Linked DNA regions of Arabidopsis thaliana. The protein of the gene in region 1 interacts with the protein of each later gene in a pairwise test. Each region holds a gene or a part of one and is shown in the gene's direction. Other genes may lie near its edges.

Region 1 (8,711 bases):
CAACCTTGACCCCGGCATCGGCATTGCTCCGGCTGGATATTCCGGTTAGGAATCAGATCTACTATTGCGTCGTTTAAATTCCTGGCTCTGTTTCCGAATAACCTCCATAGAATCTCCGGTACACGATGTCTAGGTTTACGCGGCATTACACCTTCCTCCTCCTTTCTCTCGAATTTGGAGAGAGAGAAGAGTGAACGAGCTTCGATAATGGAGTCTGATGGTGTGAAAGAGGCGGGAGATTAAAGGTCTTCTGGGTTCTCGAAACTATAAACTGCGATTTTGAAAATTTCAAAACAATTCAAAGCTGAGCTACAAACGCTATCCAAAGCGTCCACTCAACCGCAAACGCAGGTCGCTTAGCACATAAACCGAACCGAAATTCGCTTTAAATTTTAATCGGTCTATTATACTTTCTTCTTCTTTTCACATCCGGTTTCATTACTTTCTTCAAATTTCCAATCTAAAACCGGGATATAACCGAATTGATTTGTTTAGTTTAAACGCAGAAATCACCCGCCACTCTAGTTACAGTAGTATGATCCGCCGCCTTCTCATCCCCAACGCCGCCGCAAAATCTCACCAGTACATTAAAGTCTCTCTCTTCTCGACATCGGCGCCGGAGATAACACCGCCGTTTATTCACAAATGCAAAACCATCTCTCAGGTCAAGCTTATTCACCAGAAACTCCTCTCTTTCGGAATCCTAACCTTGAATCTCACTTCCCACCTCATTTCCACCTATATCTCCGTCGGTTGCTTATCTCATGCCGTATCTCTCCTCCGTCGTTTTCCTCCATCTGACGCTGGTGTCTACCATTGGAATTCACTCATTCGCAGCTACGGCGACAATGGCTGCGCCAATAAATGTCTCTATTTGTTCGGCCTTATGCATTCTCTGTCATGGACGCCGGATAATTACACATTCCCCTTCGTCTTCAAGGCTTGCGGCGAGATATCCTCCGTTCGTTGTGGAGAATCTGCTCACGCGCTTTCTCTGGTAACTGGATTTATCTCCAATGTCTTTGTTGGGAATGCGCTTGTTGCTATGTATTCCCGTTGTCGTTCATTGAGTGATGCACGGAAGGTGTTCGACGAAATGTCTGTTTGGGATGTTGTATCGTGGAACTCTATAATAGAAAGTTATGCAAAGTTAGGCAAACCTAAGGTGGCGCTTGAAATGTTTAGCAGGATGACCAATGAATTCGGATGTAGACCTGATAATATTACCCTTGTGAATGTTCTTCCTCCTTGTGCTTCCCTAGGAACTCATTCACTAGGGAAGCAATTGCATTGTTTTGCAGTCACAAGTGAGATGATACAGAATATGTTTGTAGGGAATTGCTTGGTGGATATGTATGCAAAGTGTGGGATGATGGATGAGGCAAACACGGTGTTTTCGAACATGTCAGTGAAGGACGTAGTATCTTGGAATGCTATGGTTGCTGGGTATTCACAGATTGGAAGGTTTGAAGATGCTGTTAGGTTATTTGAGAAGATGCAGGAAGAGAAAATAAAAATGGATGTTGTTACTTGGAGTGCTGCTATTTCAGGGTATGCTCAACGGGGACTTGGATATGAAGCTTTGGGTGTGTGTAGGCAGATGTTGTCTTCTGGGATAAAACCAAATGAAGTCACGCTTATTTCGGTTCTTTCGGGTTGTGCTTCTGTTGGAGCATTGATGCATGGTAAAGAGATTCATTGTTATGCCATCAAATATCCCATAGACTTGCGTAAGAACGGTCATGGTGATGAGAATATGGTAATCAATCAACTGATTGACATGTACGCTAAGTGCAAAAAGGTTGATACTGCACGTGCTATGTTTGATTCACTTTCCCCCAAGGAAAGGGATGTTGTGACTTGGACTGTGATGATAGGTGGATACTCCCAGCACGGGGATGCAAATAAAGCTCTCGAACTTTTATCTGAGATGTTTGAGGAAGATTGCCAAACAAGACCAAATGCTTTTACCATATCATGTGCCCTCGTGGCATGTGCCAGTTTGGCTGCACTAAGAATTGGCAAGCAGATTCATGCTTATGCGTTGCGCAACCAGCAGAATGCAGTACCGCTGTTCGTATCAAACTGTCTAATAGACATGTATGCAAAATGTGGAAGCATCAGTGATGCCCGCCTTGTATTTGACAATATGATGGCGAAAAATGAAGTTACTTGGACATCTCTAATGACGGGTTATGGTATGCATGGTTATGGAGAAGAAGCTCTTGGAATCTTTGATGAAATGAGGAGAATAGGTTTTAAGCTTGATGGTGTTACATTACTTGTTGTATTATATGCTTGTAGTCATTCAGGAATGATTGATCAGGGCATGGAGTATTTCAATAGAATGAAAACTGTTTTTGGGGTTAGTCCTGGTCCGGAGCATTATGCATGTTTGGTTGACTTGTTAGGTCGTGCTGGCCGGTTGAATGCAGCTTTGCGTCTCATTGAAGAAATGCCAATGGAGCCTCCTCCTGTGGTATGGGTTGCTTTTCTCAGTTGCTGCAGAATCCACGGAAAAGTTGAACTCGGGGAGTACGCTGCGGAAAAAATAACAGAATTAGCATCTAATCATGATGGATCATATACATTACTCTCAAATTTGTATGCAAATGCAGGGCGTTGGAAAGATGTGACTAGGATCAGATCATTGATGAGACATAAAGGAGTTAAGAAAAGACCTGGTTGTAGTTGGGTTGAAGGAATTAAAGGAACTACTACGTTCTTCGTGGGTGATAAAACTCATCCACACGCTAAGGAAATATACCAGGTCCTCTTAGATCACATGCAACGCATCAAGGACATTGGTTATGTTCCTGAAACAGGCTTTGCTCTTCATGATGTAGACGATGAAGAGAAAGATGATCTTCTTTTCGAGCATAGTGAGAAGTTAGCTCTTGCATATGGTATTCTAACAACTCCGCAAGGTGCTGCTATCAGGATTACTAAGAATTTACGGGTATGTGGTGATTGCCATACAGCATTCACATACATGTCCAGAATCATTGATCATGATATTATATTGAGGGACTCAAGTCGCTTCCATCATTTCAAAAATGGATCGTGTTCATGCAAAGGTTACTGGTGATGATGCTCTCTCTATGCACTCTACCAAACACGGAAGCAACCTGAGGGTTTTGACATGGCTACAGCAGATTTCAGGAACGATCTAAAGGGACAAAGAAAGGGATAATAAGCACTGTGTTAAACACCTCATGTAGATTATATAATTTAAGCAAATTTTGTAGATGAATAGCTTTCTTCTTTATTTTTGGTAGATAATCACACTCCATACCATGGGTTTATCTTCAATAAACAAGATCTGTTGTTACATTTGAAATGTTCATATAGCCAACACTCCCATGAACTGGCATTAGAACAAGCCATTTTCTCAATGTGCCAAAAAAGGCTCGAGCTTTTGATACTTCTAATACAAATCCAGCAAAAAAAGATGATATCACCATTGGTAGAGGGAAATGCTACATGCCCATGAAAAATGGGGAAAATGTTTTAAAATGAATATTTCGTCATCATCAGGAACGAGTATACGTAACAACTACAGATTTCTCACAGGTAACCTCGGGCGAACAGAGAAGGTGGAGTTCATGTCTCTCCTTTCTGCTTGGTCCATCTGAGAGATCAGGTTGAAGAAATGTCATATCGAAATTCGAATCTGCTAAAGAAGCTTTAGTCCACCTGTTACTTCATCAACAACTTCGACTGGTCCTGCAGAAGTAAAATCTATAAGCGTTGGAATGTTGTGTTAAGAAATGCTGATAATATCCGATAAACAAATTCTGCTACAAGAATCTCTAACTCCTGGTCATAGAACGGTGCATATGAATTTGGATACCACGCAGAAAGTATACACCCTCTTCTGACCGAGTCAACTTTTGAGCTTACATTTCATATTTTGGATTCTTATGAACTATAGATTCCATTCAGGGTCAAGGACAAGCACCAAGCAATCAAGAGAAGTCATGAACTAATAAACTAGTACATTTCTCTAGGGTAAGTGTGATTTGCAACTCTCAAACTCATCACTTGTCCATCAGAGTCTTAACTTTCAAACACATATCTTAAAAATAACAACTTACCAAGAATAGCCATAACCGTCCTTGAATCTGGAAAGAACATGACGTATTATTAGATTCACATTTTCGCAGAAAATGATACTTACGAAAGAAGATTGAATCAAGAGAGCTTTCTCCCTGGCAATTAACTAGCAATCATAAAGTTTAAAGCACCAAGGGATTTCAAGTTCAAGAGGGGAGGAACTTATGAAACTCACTTGGGGCAATCTGTGTTCTTCCAGCATCAATGGTGATATGGGTAGGCAGTTTAAGGGATTTAGCTCTTTCCTGACAATTTTGTGAACAGTCAATACAAGATATAAGAAATGGGAAAAATCAAGATAAGCTCTATGATATCTCAAATTCCCCTTAAGTATTCATGTATATGGTCAGAACTCAGAAATTATCAAGAAACTAACATCTGGCAACTCCTGCAAAGCCCGTGAAGATCAATTTGGCAACAGCACTAAAGCTGTGAATCCAAAATATAGTTCAATAAAAAAAATCCACTTTACAGTCTACTACAATTTGTTTTAGTAAACTCACTTGCAATTCTAGCATCTCGTCCTCGTCCTCGATTTTCACAACAACTTTTGGCTGTGCACATTCCTCCCAGCTGCAATAGCAACCTATACTGTTAATTCAATCCATATATTAAGTAACAAATGGAATTGATCATGACTTAGAGGCATACCAGTCCAATGCTTTTGGCGCTCGACGAACAAGCTTCTTGTATAATCCTAAAGTTGCATGACTGCAGAAATGCAGACCAATAAAACGAATCAGAATAAGAACACTCAAATGTAAGAATGATAAACATGAATTAAACACTTAAAATAGTAAAAGAGAGCATGATTAGTTTATCACCTGCATTGAGCTGCAATCTTTCCTTTACCCATTTTAAGATCATTTCTCACCACCAAAACCTGAGTATACAAAACTCAATTCAACAATTTTGTGATTCCATAACAGTAGAGAGAAAAATGTAGCTAACTACCATCTTGAAATCATCGAGAATATCAGCGAGTTTCTCAATCTCGAGTGGACTTTTGGAGGATTGAGTTTTGATATCCTTATCAACAGCAGCAACAACAGGTTTGGAACGGCGAGTGCCAATGCAGTATCCAAGTGCAGCTCCAACAATTAGGGCACTTAACCACGTCAAATCCATTGGCAAGATTCAAATACTTAAATCCTACAGACAACAAAATGATTGAATTTGAGTATCTAAAATTGAATTACCTCAACGTAATCTAGCTCAAGTTTCTACAGTAGAAAGGGAACAATTAAGATTCTCATCAATGGTCTAAAGAAGAGAATCGAAGAAAGCTTACGAGTTCGAGAGAGAGAAACGGCTCCGATGATGAAGTTTTTTTTCCTGAAACCGGCGTGAAGATTTTACTGGCAAGAAAAAAAAAAAAAAACATTTAATGATCGATTATTTTTTGGTTCGTTGGATGAAATTGCGTAACGTGATTGGTTGATATGAAAAAAATAAAAATAAAAAAGCATATCTTTTTGAAAATAATGTTTAGCGTAAAGGAAGGGAAACATAGTCAGGATAAAGTAATTCCCACGACCAAACACTTAAAAAAGGAACGCAGTTTTCTTCTTCTTCAGGATTTGTACGGCGTCAACGGGCATTGACCTTGTCGCAGATTTTCCTCTCTAGTCTCCGTCTTCTATTACCAGATCGAGCTTTGTTCTTCGAGCTTCTCATCTCTTTGTTCAATCTCAAAGGTAGAAATTCGCGTTAATTTACTTGTGATTTCGCTGTTTTTTGGTTACTGTTTCCGTGTTGATCGATCTAGTTCTGGGTTTTTCGATCATATGAAATGTTATTTTCCTTATTAGGGTTTTTGTTGACCAAAACGAATTTTTCTATTTTCTTTCGAATTTTGATCTTCGAATATCGAATTCGGTTTTTCTCAGCAAACCCTAATTACATTCATCCGTAAAAAACTGTTTAATTTCTGGTTAAACCAGTTTCCTTGAGCAAATTTTGTTGGATCGAGAAGAATATTTGTATGATCGAAGAGATCGTATCTGAAAACCTGGTTTAACCGGGTTTGAACCTTTTTGTGTATTTGATTTTGTATGAATCTCTGCAGAATTCGTAGGTGTATATTATTGATTGTTAGTATTTCCTTTCGTGCTCGTTATTGTTTAGTATCATTGAAGGATACTTGAACAAGTTGATGTTTCAGCTGCTTTCTGGTTTGTTCTGTATGTACAATTCCAGGTTCTTGCTGTTTTTCATTTACAGGTTTTTGAGTATCAGCAAAGATGGGTGACAATCTTATGGACAAAGTTACCGCATTTGGTGAGCGCCTGAAGATCGGAGGTTCGGAAGTGAGCAACAAGATCAGTGCTGGTGTGAGCTCAATGAGCTTTAAAGTGAAGGAACTTTTTCAAGGTCCAAACCCAACTGATAAAATAGTCGAAGATGCTACTACTGAGAATCTAGAGGAACCTGACTGGGATATGAATTTGGAAATTTGTGATATGATAAATCAAGAGACAATTAATAGCGTTGAGTTGATCCGTGGTATAAAGAAGAGGATTATGATGAAGCAGCCGAGGATTCAGTACCTTGCCTTGGTTTTGCTCGAGACGTGTGTTAAGAACTGTGAGAAGGCGTTTTCAGAGGTGGCAGCAGAGAGAGTCCTTGATGAAATGGTAAAGCTGATTGATGATCCACAAACAGTTGTTAATAACCGAAACAAAGCTTTGATGCTGATTGAAGCTTGGGGAGAATCAACCAGTGAACTTCGCTACCTACCAGTTTTCGAAGAAACTTATAAGGTAACTATGACCTGGTACCAAATAATTTTACGCTATTAAATTCAACAATACAGTTTCATTTACAATACTTTATTGAAGATACCACTATCTTATGTTGAGTTGAACTGTTTTGGCCAAAGCATATGGGTTTTGAACAAAACAGACAAATGACTATTGTTTCAATGAATTGGCTCAATCGACTAGCTTGTTGCAGGAATTGATTGAAAAATGAAAAGCTGTGAGGTCTGATGTCAGAATTCATTATGATTAGGTCTTTAATGTTTTTATATTTTTTCCTATACTATAGAGCTTAAAAGCAAGAGGTATTCGCTTCCCTGGACGAGACAACGAAAGCTTGGCACCTATTTTCACTCCTGCTCGGTCAACTCCAGCACCAGAACTGAATGCTGATCTTCCTCAGCATGTGCATGAACCTGCACATATCCAGTATGATGTGCCTGTAAGAAGCTTTACTGCTGAGCAGACAAAGGAAGCTTTTGATATAGCAAGAAACAGCATTGAACTTCTTTCCACGGTTCTGTCCTCCTCGCCTCAACATGATGCTTTACAGGTAAATTGACTCGGAATTATTAGGCATCATTTCCTGTAATTCTAATGTAATAATGGATATAACATGGGATATCGGCGATATATTTTCATTATCTCTCTGATTTGCAGGATGACTTAACAACGACACTTGTACAACAATGTCGTCAATCTCAAACCACTGTCCAAAGAATCATTGAAACAGCAGGTGAAAACGAAGCCCTTCTTTTCGAAGCCTTGAATGTGAACGACGAGCTAGTGAAAACGCTGTCTAAGTATGAGGAGATGAACAAACCCTCTGCACCGCTAACCTCACATGAACCAGCCATGATTCCCGTTGCTGAAGAGCCCGATGACTCTCCAATTCATGGAAGAGAAGAATCTCTGGTTAGAAAATCTTCTGGTGTTCGAGGTGGATTCCATGGAGGGGGTGGTAGTGGAGATGACATGATGGATGATCTTGATGAGATGATATTCGGTAAGAAAAACGGCTGTGATTCTTCGACTAATCCAGATCATGACCCAAAAAAGGAGCAGTCCTCATCCAAAAACGACGATCTCATTCGATTCTGAGACGGATACTTTCAGGCGACATAATAAATCTTTTATAATGTATTTGGTGTTTAATTGGTAGTATGAATGAACAGGTTCAATGTAAGTAATCTGTGTTTGGAGATCTCTTTGACTTGTGTGATGGTTTATAAAGGAGATTTGTTATGATGGCACATGAGATTTGAAATACATTCTATTCTAGTTTCTGCTATCAAACACATTTTGACATCTATCCAATTGCTATCGTGCACATTTGAACACAAACTTTGTTTCAATTTAGCGTTTACAGTCGCAGACGCAATCGCGGTTAAGTGAAGCGCATCGTCACTTTCCACATTCATAGTAATATGCAACAACTGAGTAACAGAAATTTGTAATCGAACTCAGATTTCGAAGAAGCAGATCTCACAATGTCTGGAAAACAGCAAAATCATCGTTCTACTTCCTCCAGACCCAGATCCAAAACCCTAATCCTCATCGGCTCTCTCTTCACCGTCTCTCTACTCGTCATCCTCTACACCTCTTCTTCCTCCTCCCGAGCCTCCATCTCCAATCCCAACCCGTCGGACCGACCAGAGACGTCCTTCGTTACCTCGCTTGAGCATTTCTTAATATATAAAGCTCCGAAGCTCTCGTTACCGGTTAGAGACGACACGGTGCGTGGCGAGAGTGATGATGATGTGAGGAAGCTCGATGAGATGGTGTTCGAGAGAGAGAATCGTTGGTTGAACGAAGATCCGGGATATCCTGTTGAAT
Region 2 (8,353 bases), 9.5 Mb from region 1:
TGGTTTTGACTTATGAGAAACGTAAATTAAATATTTGGAAACATGCGAAAATTTAAAAACCAATTAATATGCCATATAAGATAATACAGTAAAATATTAAAATATTTGACACATGTTACAATCAAATTGATCATCACACGTATCATGATGATAATGATGTTAGTCGTTTAATTGTTTTTATAATTTTCCTCTTCATAAGTAAAAAACCTAAAATATATTTAACACATGTGAATGTCTGATTGATTGACTACACATATATCAGTTGCGTTAATTACGATATGAACTTGTGTCAAATACTTCTTCAACCCTTACACAAAACCCTAATTAAAATAAAACCGAACATACACGTGTTCTTCTAGCTTTCCCTTGCGTTTTTGGTTTTCAAGCTCTAAGGTATTTAACAAGATTTCCTTTTTCTGGTTAGTTTCCTTTTCCTTAGTTAGTTTGGATTTGTGTTTACCACTCCTAAGAGATGTATTAAAAGTTGTCTTCTACAAATAGATCTATCCATCGTTGTTTAAGAGATATCAGACTTGTGTTTTGAGATTTAAAAAGTTGGCGTTTAAACACTCTTTTTTTTTTTTACTTTTTTTGGTACGGAAGTCTTATAAAAGTTTCGAACAAACTCTTCTGCCTTCATCAGTCGAGGATGTTTTAAAATTGTTTGATTAATGAAAATATGATAATATTTTTACTATTGATATCTAGGTGACATGGTGGGAGCCTTAGAAGCTTTGATATCTCAAGGTCATGGAGGGGAGAGAGTGGCTAAGAGACAACGCTCGGCGACATTGCTAGATCTTGATATCCTCGATTGTCCTATTTGCTGTGAAGGATTGACGTGTCCTATCTTCCAGGTTTTGTTTCTTGTCTAAAAATTGTTTTTTTCCAGCTTTTAATACATATTTTTTTTCTTGAAATTTTTACAGTGTTTTTTTTTTTGTATGTCAGTGTGAGAATGGACATTTAGCATGCTCTTCTTGCTGTCCCAAACTGAGGAACAAATGCCCTGCTTGTGCTTTCTTTATCAGCCAATGGAGAATATTCTTGAATCGATATTGGTCACATGCCCAAACGACATGTTTGGTTGCACCGAGAGTTTCTTATATGGGAAAAAATCAACTCATGAAGAAGAATGCATTTTCTCTCTATGCTCATGCCCTTCATTGGACTGTGAGTACTCCGGCCGATACGAGGATCTCTATGATCACTATAAACTGACTCACATCTCGAACTCATACTGGACCACTAACTGCTTTAGATCTAGCATTCCATATAAGGCCCCGATGCTTATCAGCGATAAGATACAAATTACAAGGGTATATGAGAAGAAAATATTGTTTGCAGTGCAGTGTTTTAGGGAGTCGTGTGGTGTGTATGTAACCGTAAGCTGCATTGCACCATCTGCTCCAGAAGTTGGACAGTTCTCATATCAAATCTCCTACACTGTGGATGAACACACTATGGTTTACAGATCACCACAAATGAAGAGGGTTCGTAAAGTGAGTTTTGAAACACCTCAAGAGAATTTCATGTTGATACCTCACAATTTATTGCGTAGTGAATTGTTGGATATTAAGCTTTCTATCGTCGAAACGTCGAACCAAGAGTAAGAATGTTGAGGTGATATAGAACTAGAAGGAAGGAATGTCATTTTTTTACTCTCTCTATCTCGTCTGACATTTATATAAGTTTTGACGAACTAAGATCCGATGTAATTGCTTAACGGCTTGATTCAGCTTTGATGCAATTTGTTTGGTATTGCTTAACACGTTTTTGTGCATTTAGAGTGATAATGGAAATTTTGATGGAATCGACCAACAAAACATTTCACAGTTTTTTAATCTAATAACTTCTAAGCTATACTTTATGCATGACCAAATTGGAGTAATGCGTGCTCTTTCGTTTGTCATGATTATGGTCTCCATCTTTTATTCTACTCTTAGTCGAAATCTAATTATAAGTAAACGTACGAACGTGTGATGTCTAAAAGCAGAAGAAAAAATTTAGTTGTGAATTGTGATTCAATGATTAAAGAATTCCAATATGGTAGTTTTAACTGCAATTTTACATATTAGTTAAGAATATAAAAGCTAATACCAAAATTCTTAAATCTTTAGCAGAAAAAATAATAGCAAAAGTTAAAATAGAAATTTCCATAAATAGCACCATTTCAAGTTTTTGGAAAAAAATAGCACTCAAACATTTTTTGGACAAAATAGCATTCAAATAATTATTTTATTTTTAATTATTAAAATTAACAATTAAAAAAATTCAAAAAGTACACAAATTCATCATTTGGGTGAATGCTCTATGAATATGCTAACACAAACTTTTTTTTTATTAGCAATCTGCTACTTCTGCATAGTAATTGACCCTATTCAAAAAAAATGAACTATATAACTCATAAATTGTTAATTCTGCAAACGATATGGTTATTGAAATTATATTGGTTTAAGCATATACTAACCTATATATCTGTTAATTCTGTGAATCAACCGCCGATTTTTTCCTTGCGTTTCCAATAATATTTTCCTCAAGGTTTGAATTACTAGCTTACATTGTATAGCACTCCATTATCTTCATCATGTAGATATCGGACTCTTTAATCTTAGCAGTCTACCACCAAAAATCAAAAGAATTTTTAAACATTTAATTTGAAAATTACTTGAGGAATAGAGGTCAACACTATGATATATTAAATTTAGAAATTACCTGAAGAAAAGAGGTCAGGACTCTGATACTGAATGGAGTGACATCTATGTCGTGGAATCTTTCAAAGAATCATTTCCTGAATTTAAGAAAGATTCTACAAAATTCAGGAAGAGTTTTAGGAAAGATTTTTTTGTGAAATCTTTTATGAATTCCGTGAAATCCTTCCCAAATTTCGTATAATAATCTTTCCTAAATTTTTTTTATGGGAAACATTTGACGGATTTTTTTTTGTGAGAAAATTTTGACAAAAATCTTTGGCGAGAAATATTTAATTTTATTTATTTAATTAAATTAGTTATTTATATTAAATATTTAATAATTAATTAAAGTTTTGAGTGTAATTTTGGAACTATTCAAATGAGCTGCTATTTTTGAAGAAATTGTTTTTTTTTGCTATTTTTATCAATCTTCCAAGGTAAAATTAGTCTAGTGGTTTGTGATTGCCCCAAATCCCAACTTCAAAACCACATTTTTGACAAAAAAATAAATAAAAGCTACATAACTTTTAAAAATAAAAATTAGCTTATTAATTAATGTAGCAAAAAATACATAAACTATTAAGACTAAATAAATAATTATTATTGTATTTTGTAAAATTTAGACATTGTTTCTGTTATATATTATATGGGCCTTAATTGGGAATTGAAGAATTAAAAAATACATAAACTTTAAGACTAATATTAATTTTTAAATGGTTTTATATATATAATTATATTCTTTTATATTGTAAATATTAATAGACTTAAAAATTAGATATTGTTTATAAGTTTATCAAAAAAAGGTATTGTTTATATATTATATGGGCCTTAATTGGGAATTGAAGAACTATCGAAGCCCATATCATCTATAGTTTGTGCCATTGTCTCCTTTCTCTGTAAAACCATCCATCAATGAACAAAATCAACTAAATTCTCTATTTGCCTCTCTCAGTTTTCGAGAAGACTAAAAGCGAATTTAGGGTTTAGTCATCTCTCCGACATGGTTGGTGCCGCGATTTTGGAATCTCCCGGCGAAGGAATTGGATCTAACAGCATTCTCTCGCAAAAGAGACAACTTTCTTCTAGTGATGCAGCTAAGAGAGACGCTAAGAAACGCTCGACAATGCTAATGGATCTGGAGATTCTCGATTGTCCCATTTGCTACGAAGCTTTCACAATTCCCATCTTCCAGGTTTCGTAATTTCTCAAATTGAATCATTTCGTATTTTTCAGAAAGTTTCTGTTTTGGTTAGAACTCTGAACATAGTTGGAACTGTGGCCATTTACTTGATTCTAAGAGTAGCCTTAGCTTTTGAGGATTCTAGTGAACTTTTGAAAGTTATGTTAAAGAAATTGCAGAGAGAAGAAGTTGGAATTGTGCCCATTTACTAGTTACTAGATTTCAAGAGTGTCCTTAAGCTTTAGCTTGTGATGATTTTATAGAATTCTAGTGAACTTTAGTAAGTTATGTTCATGTATGCAGTTGTATATAGTTATTGAAAATATGTGTATAACTTGTCTATATCATGAATTATATGGGAGAATCATTTGGGGAGAGAACTATTATCCTTGGTCGATTCGATGAATATTATCTCGACGTTGTTATAGCTTTTGATCACAAGTTATTGGTTTTGAATTTCAGTGTGATAATGGACATTTGGCTTGTTCTTCTTGCTGTCCCAAACTAAATAACAAATGCCCTGCGTGTACTTCGCCTGTTGGCCACAATCGCTGCAGAGCAATGGAGAGTGTTCTTGAATCGATCTTGATCCCGTGTCCGAACGCCAAGTTAGGTTGCAAAAAGAATGTATCTTATGGGAAAGAGTTAACTCATGAAAAGGAATGCATGTTCTCTCATTGCGCCTGCCCTGCATTGGATTGCAATTACACTAGCTCATACAAGGATCTGTACACTCACTATCGTATTACCCATATGGAAATAAACCAGATTAATACGTTCATTTGTGACATTCCCTTAAGTGTCCGGATGAACATCAGCAAAAAGATATTGATTAGAACGGAACACTTGACGAATCATTTGTTTGCAGTGCAGTGTTTCAGGGAGCCGTATGGTGTGTATGTAACTGTAAGCTGCATTGCGCCATCTTCTCCAGAATTAAGTCAGTACTCATATGCTCTCTCTTACACTGTCGATGGACACACTGTGATTTACCAATCACCAGAGGTGAAGAGGGTTCTTAAGTTGAGTTTTCAAACCCCGCAAGAGAATTTCATGTTGATTCCCAACAGTTTATTGCGTGGTGATGTGTTGGAAATGAGGATTAGCGTCAAGAAGTTGAACAAAGAGTAAGAAGGTTGGGGTCTTCCTGTTAGAAAACTCTTATCTGTCTCGTTTTAGTTATCTTAACCCGCCCATAGTCGTTATGGTTGATGAGGGTTGTAATTTTAGAGACTTGGTGCAATCGACCAACAAAACGTTTCACAATGTTTTCAATCTAAACTAAGATATAATTTATGCATAGGCCATTTGCTATGAAGCATTGACGATTCCTGTCTTCCAAGAAGATTTTTCCATCTTTCTGATTCTTATTTCTTGATAACTAAAATTCTTCCAGGTTTTGGTGTTTCTTGTTATAAACTCTGTATTAGGAACAACGAAGTTGGAAACTTGCCCTTTTACTAGATTCTAAAAGTTACAAAAACTAGTTTTGTTTTGAGGATTTGAGGATTCTAGCGAAGTTCTACAAAATATGTTCAGTTTTGGAGTTGTAGTTCTTGAAAAGTGTGTATAATTTAGCAAGATCAAGTATATATCATGAATTATAAAAAAGGTTAGTTAAATATATATATATATGGAGGATGATATAATTAAGAAAGTATACATGGACATATAATTATATCCCATAGGACAGAAAAAAAGAGGTTGAAGAGGGAGATCGTCCTCACCAGAATCCATGGTTAGGGCCTCACCAGAAGAGGTTGGGTTGTCTGTTTGTGTTAATGTGTATACCAAATTCGGTTTTCCACCAATTTCCTCCTTACAAAATACACCCATTGAACTCATGGCTGCTAATATGGAGATTTGGATCGATTTTTGTGATATTCTTCTTCTCCTTCTCCCCTTGCATATATATATTAGCCAGCCATTTAATATAAAAACTTGTGAATACAACTAAGCTTTCTTTTGTTTTAGTTGAAAGCTTTTTTATATTCTTTGTTATAAAAAAGTCGTTCATTATTTTTTTTTTCTTTTTGTTTTTTTGTTAAAGAAAGTCGTTCATTATTGATTTCGGAGAGCTGTTCAATTATCAAGACTTCGGATTTTCCGGATCTTGTTTCTAACGATTGGAAGTTTGAAGAAGCAAGACTTCGAATCCCATCTAGGAACAAGAACATATCGTGACTTCACGTTGGACAACTGTAAAATAATAGTGTACAATACAATACATGATAGTATTTGTTATTACTTTAAAATTAAACAAGGAAAATACGACAAGTCTACAACGCAGATTAAGTTAAATATTTTTCTTTTTCTGCTAGTGATATGATTCTTCTCTCCAAAAGTATATCTCTCACACAAAACTTGCTTAGGTCTAAACAATAATCTTAAAATATTTACATGTATATATTTTTGCTAAGGTTTTTGACCAAAAATCCCTCACCTATTTACTATTTTCAATATTAGTCCTTACAAATTTAATCTCAATCAAATACTTTATAACTAAAAACTTACAATTAGTTGAATTGCATTAATTAGTTGAATCAACTCTTCCTAATTTTTTATCCTTAACTAAATTTTTTTTTATTGAACTATATTCGATTAAGGCTAATTTCCTAAAATCTATATATCAACATTAAATATAAATATATAATTTTTCTGTCATTATCTTTGTTTTTATATATAGCTATTTTAGTTTATATATAAAATACATATATTTAATAAAATATTAGATTTTTTTGCATCCGATAAAATTCAAATTTTTTAAAACAGACATATAATACTCCATCGATAAAAAAAAAAGTTTTAAAGGTCCCACATTGCTTAAAAATTTGGGACATCGTTAAGAGTCATACTATAAAAAATATTTAAGTGATTCTGAATACGAATGAGAAGGAACCTTGATATATCAAACATCCAAAATTAAAAGTATTGTTCGGTTTACTCCGGTTCTTTATTTTAAATAAGTAAAAGTTTTAAAGTTTTAAAATATTATATATATTTAAAATTTATTAAAAGTTAAGTATTACAATTTCTTAAGAAAATTTAAAAGTTAATAACTATAAAATAAATTTAATATTAATGATTTAAAAATTTTAAAATTTTATGAAGTTGTAAATTTTGTAAATATTTGAACTTTATAAGAAGTTAAAATATTATAAATACTAAAAATATATTAATATTGAACGATATATTACGGGTGAAATCCTATATGTAACAATCAATATACAATTATGAAGTTTGGTCCATATTAAAACTTTTTTGAAGTTTCTAATATTATAATTATTCGAACTTCATAAAAAAATGATAAAATGATGTTTAATTTCACGGGACGAGGTTATATGGTGGGATAGGTTTGGATCGATATTAATACGGAATGATACAATTATACAATTTTAAACACTAAAAAAAAATAGTTATAAAAATCATACAGAGGTGTATCATACTATCATACATAAAAGACAATAGCATGTATCTATAGATCATCCTAAAAACAATAATAATATTTTTAATTTAATAAAAATATAGACGTTTGATGTACCTCTTGAATATGTTATATATATAAACAATATTAATAAAAATAAAATATCTAATTTTCTAAGAAATATTTCAACCCTGGATGTACCGCGGGTCAATCTCTAAATAATACAAGTTAAAAAATAATAATAATAATAATACAAGTTTTAAATCTTTATTACCTCTAAAAAACCCAAACCATAAAAATAAATATTGAATTTTCATAATTAACTAACAAATATGAGAACATAAAAATGAATTATCGAAGCTTTACATAAATAAAAATTATGTGTTAAGAATATATTATTTATATACAATTAATAATTTTTAAAAAAATTATCTATAATTTTTTAATGAACATATCCACCCGTGGTACCGCGGGTTAATATCTAGTATATATATAATATAGGTTAGTAAAAACGTGCAGGGTCTATTTTACAAATAAGAAAAATTTCTAGACTTCTTAAAGACTTTATGATACGTGAGAAATATCCTTGTCGATAAGGGTGTCGATCGGTACTGACGTGGTGTCGATCGATACTGACGTGGTGTCGATCGACACCAACGTATGAATAATGTTTCTGCTTGTCTTCTTTTCCTGAAAAGCTTCCAAAATTCCTTATTATGCTTCATAGCTCTTAAAAGTAGATATGCACCTGTAATGACTAAAAAAGATACAAAAAAGATTAGAAAGACTATAAAAACCATTCTAATACTATGTTAGAAATCAGTAAAAACCATGATATATCTCATATAATTTATTGACTTTTATTTGGTAATTGTATACGTGTGTTAGATTATTGTTGTAAGTTGTTACATTATACTCTAATTGTTTAATTGTATTTTAAAATTTACATTTATTTTATTTATCAACCGTATTATTGTGTCCTTTCTTCAATATATGATTATGCACATCAAAATAACTTTAAACTTCTTTATTAAATTCCACAAGTGTATATATAGT

Evidence for each region. Proteins that work in one complex are often made in the same cells at the same time.
Region 2: the proteins of AT5G16880 (region 1) and AT5G37890 interact in a two-hybrid assay, tested with the Arabidopsis thaliana proteins (one large-scale study listed by BioGRID).

Annotation. Positions count from the first base shown.
Region 1 is NC_003076.8:5,543,299-5,552,009, forward strand, and holds AT5G16880 (Target of Myb protein 1), read left to right. Parts: upstream 1-5,618; 5' UTR 5,619-5,813; exon of another isoform or gene 5,814-6,339; 5' UTR 6,340-6,359; coding exon 6,360-6,878; intron 6,879-7,164; coding exon 7,165-7,428; intron 7,429-7,535; coding exon 7,536-7,976; 3' UTR 7,977-8,211; downstream 8,212-8,711. Other genes in the region: TERT (telomerase reverse transcriptase), read right to left, coding at 1-146; AT5G16860 (Tetratricopeptide repeat (TPR)-like superfamily protein), read left to right, coding at 536-3,088; AT5G16870 (Peptidyl-tRNA hydrolase II (PTH2) family protein), read right to left, coding at 3,677-3,726, 4,098-4,124, 4,292-4,361, 4,620-4,689, 4,768-4,827, 4,941-4,999, 5,071-5,244; AT5G16890 (Exostosin family protein), read left to right, coding at 8,366-8,711. UniProt on the Arabidopsis thaliana protein: Might contribute to the loading of the ESCRT machinery.
Region 2 is NC_003076.8:15,087,163-15,095,515, reverse strand, and holds AT5G37890 (Protein with RING/U-box and TRAF-like domain), read left to right. Parts: upstream 1-3,560; 5' UTR 3,561-3,693; coding exon 3,694-3,885; intron 3,886-4,335; coding exon 4,336-5,004; 3' UTR 5,005-5,838; downstream 5,839-8,353. Other genes in the region: AT5G37900 (TRAF-like superfamily protein), read left to right, coding at 714-857, 1,032-1,613. UniProt on the Arabidopsis thaliana protein: E3 ubiquitin-protein ligase that mediates ubiquitination and subsequent proteasomal degradation of target proteins.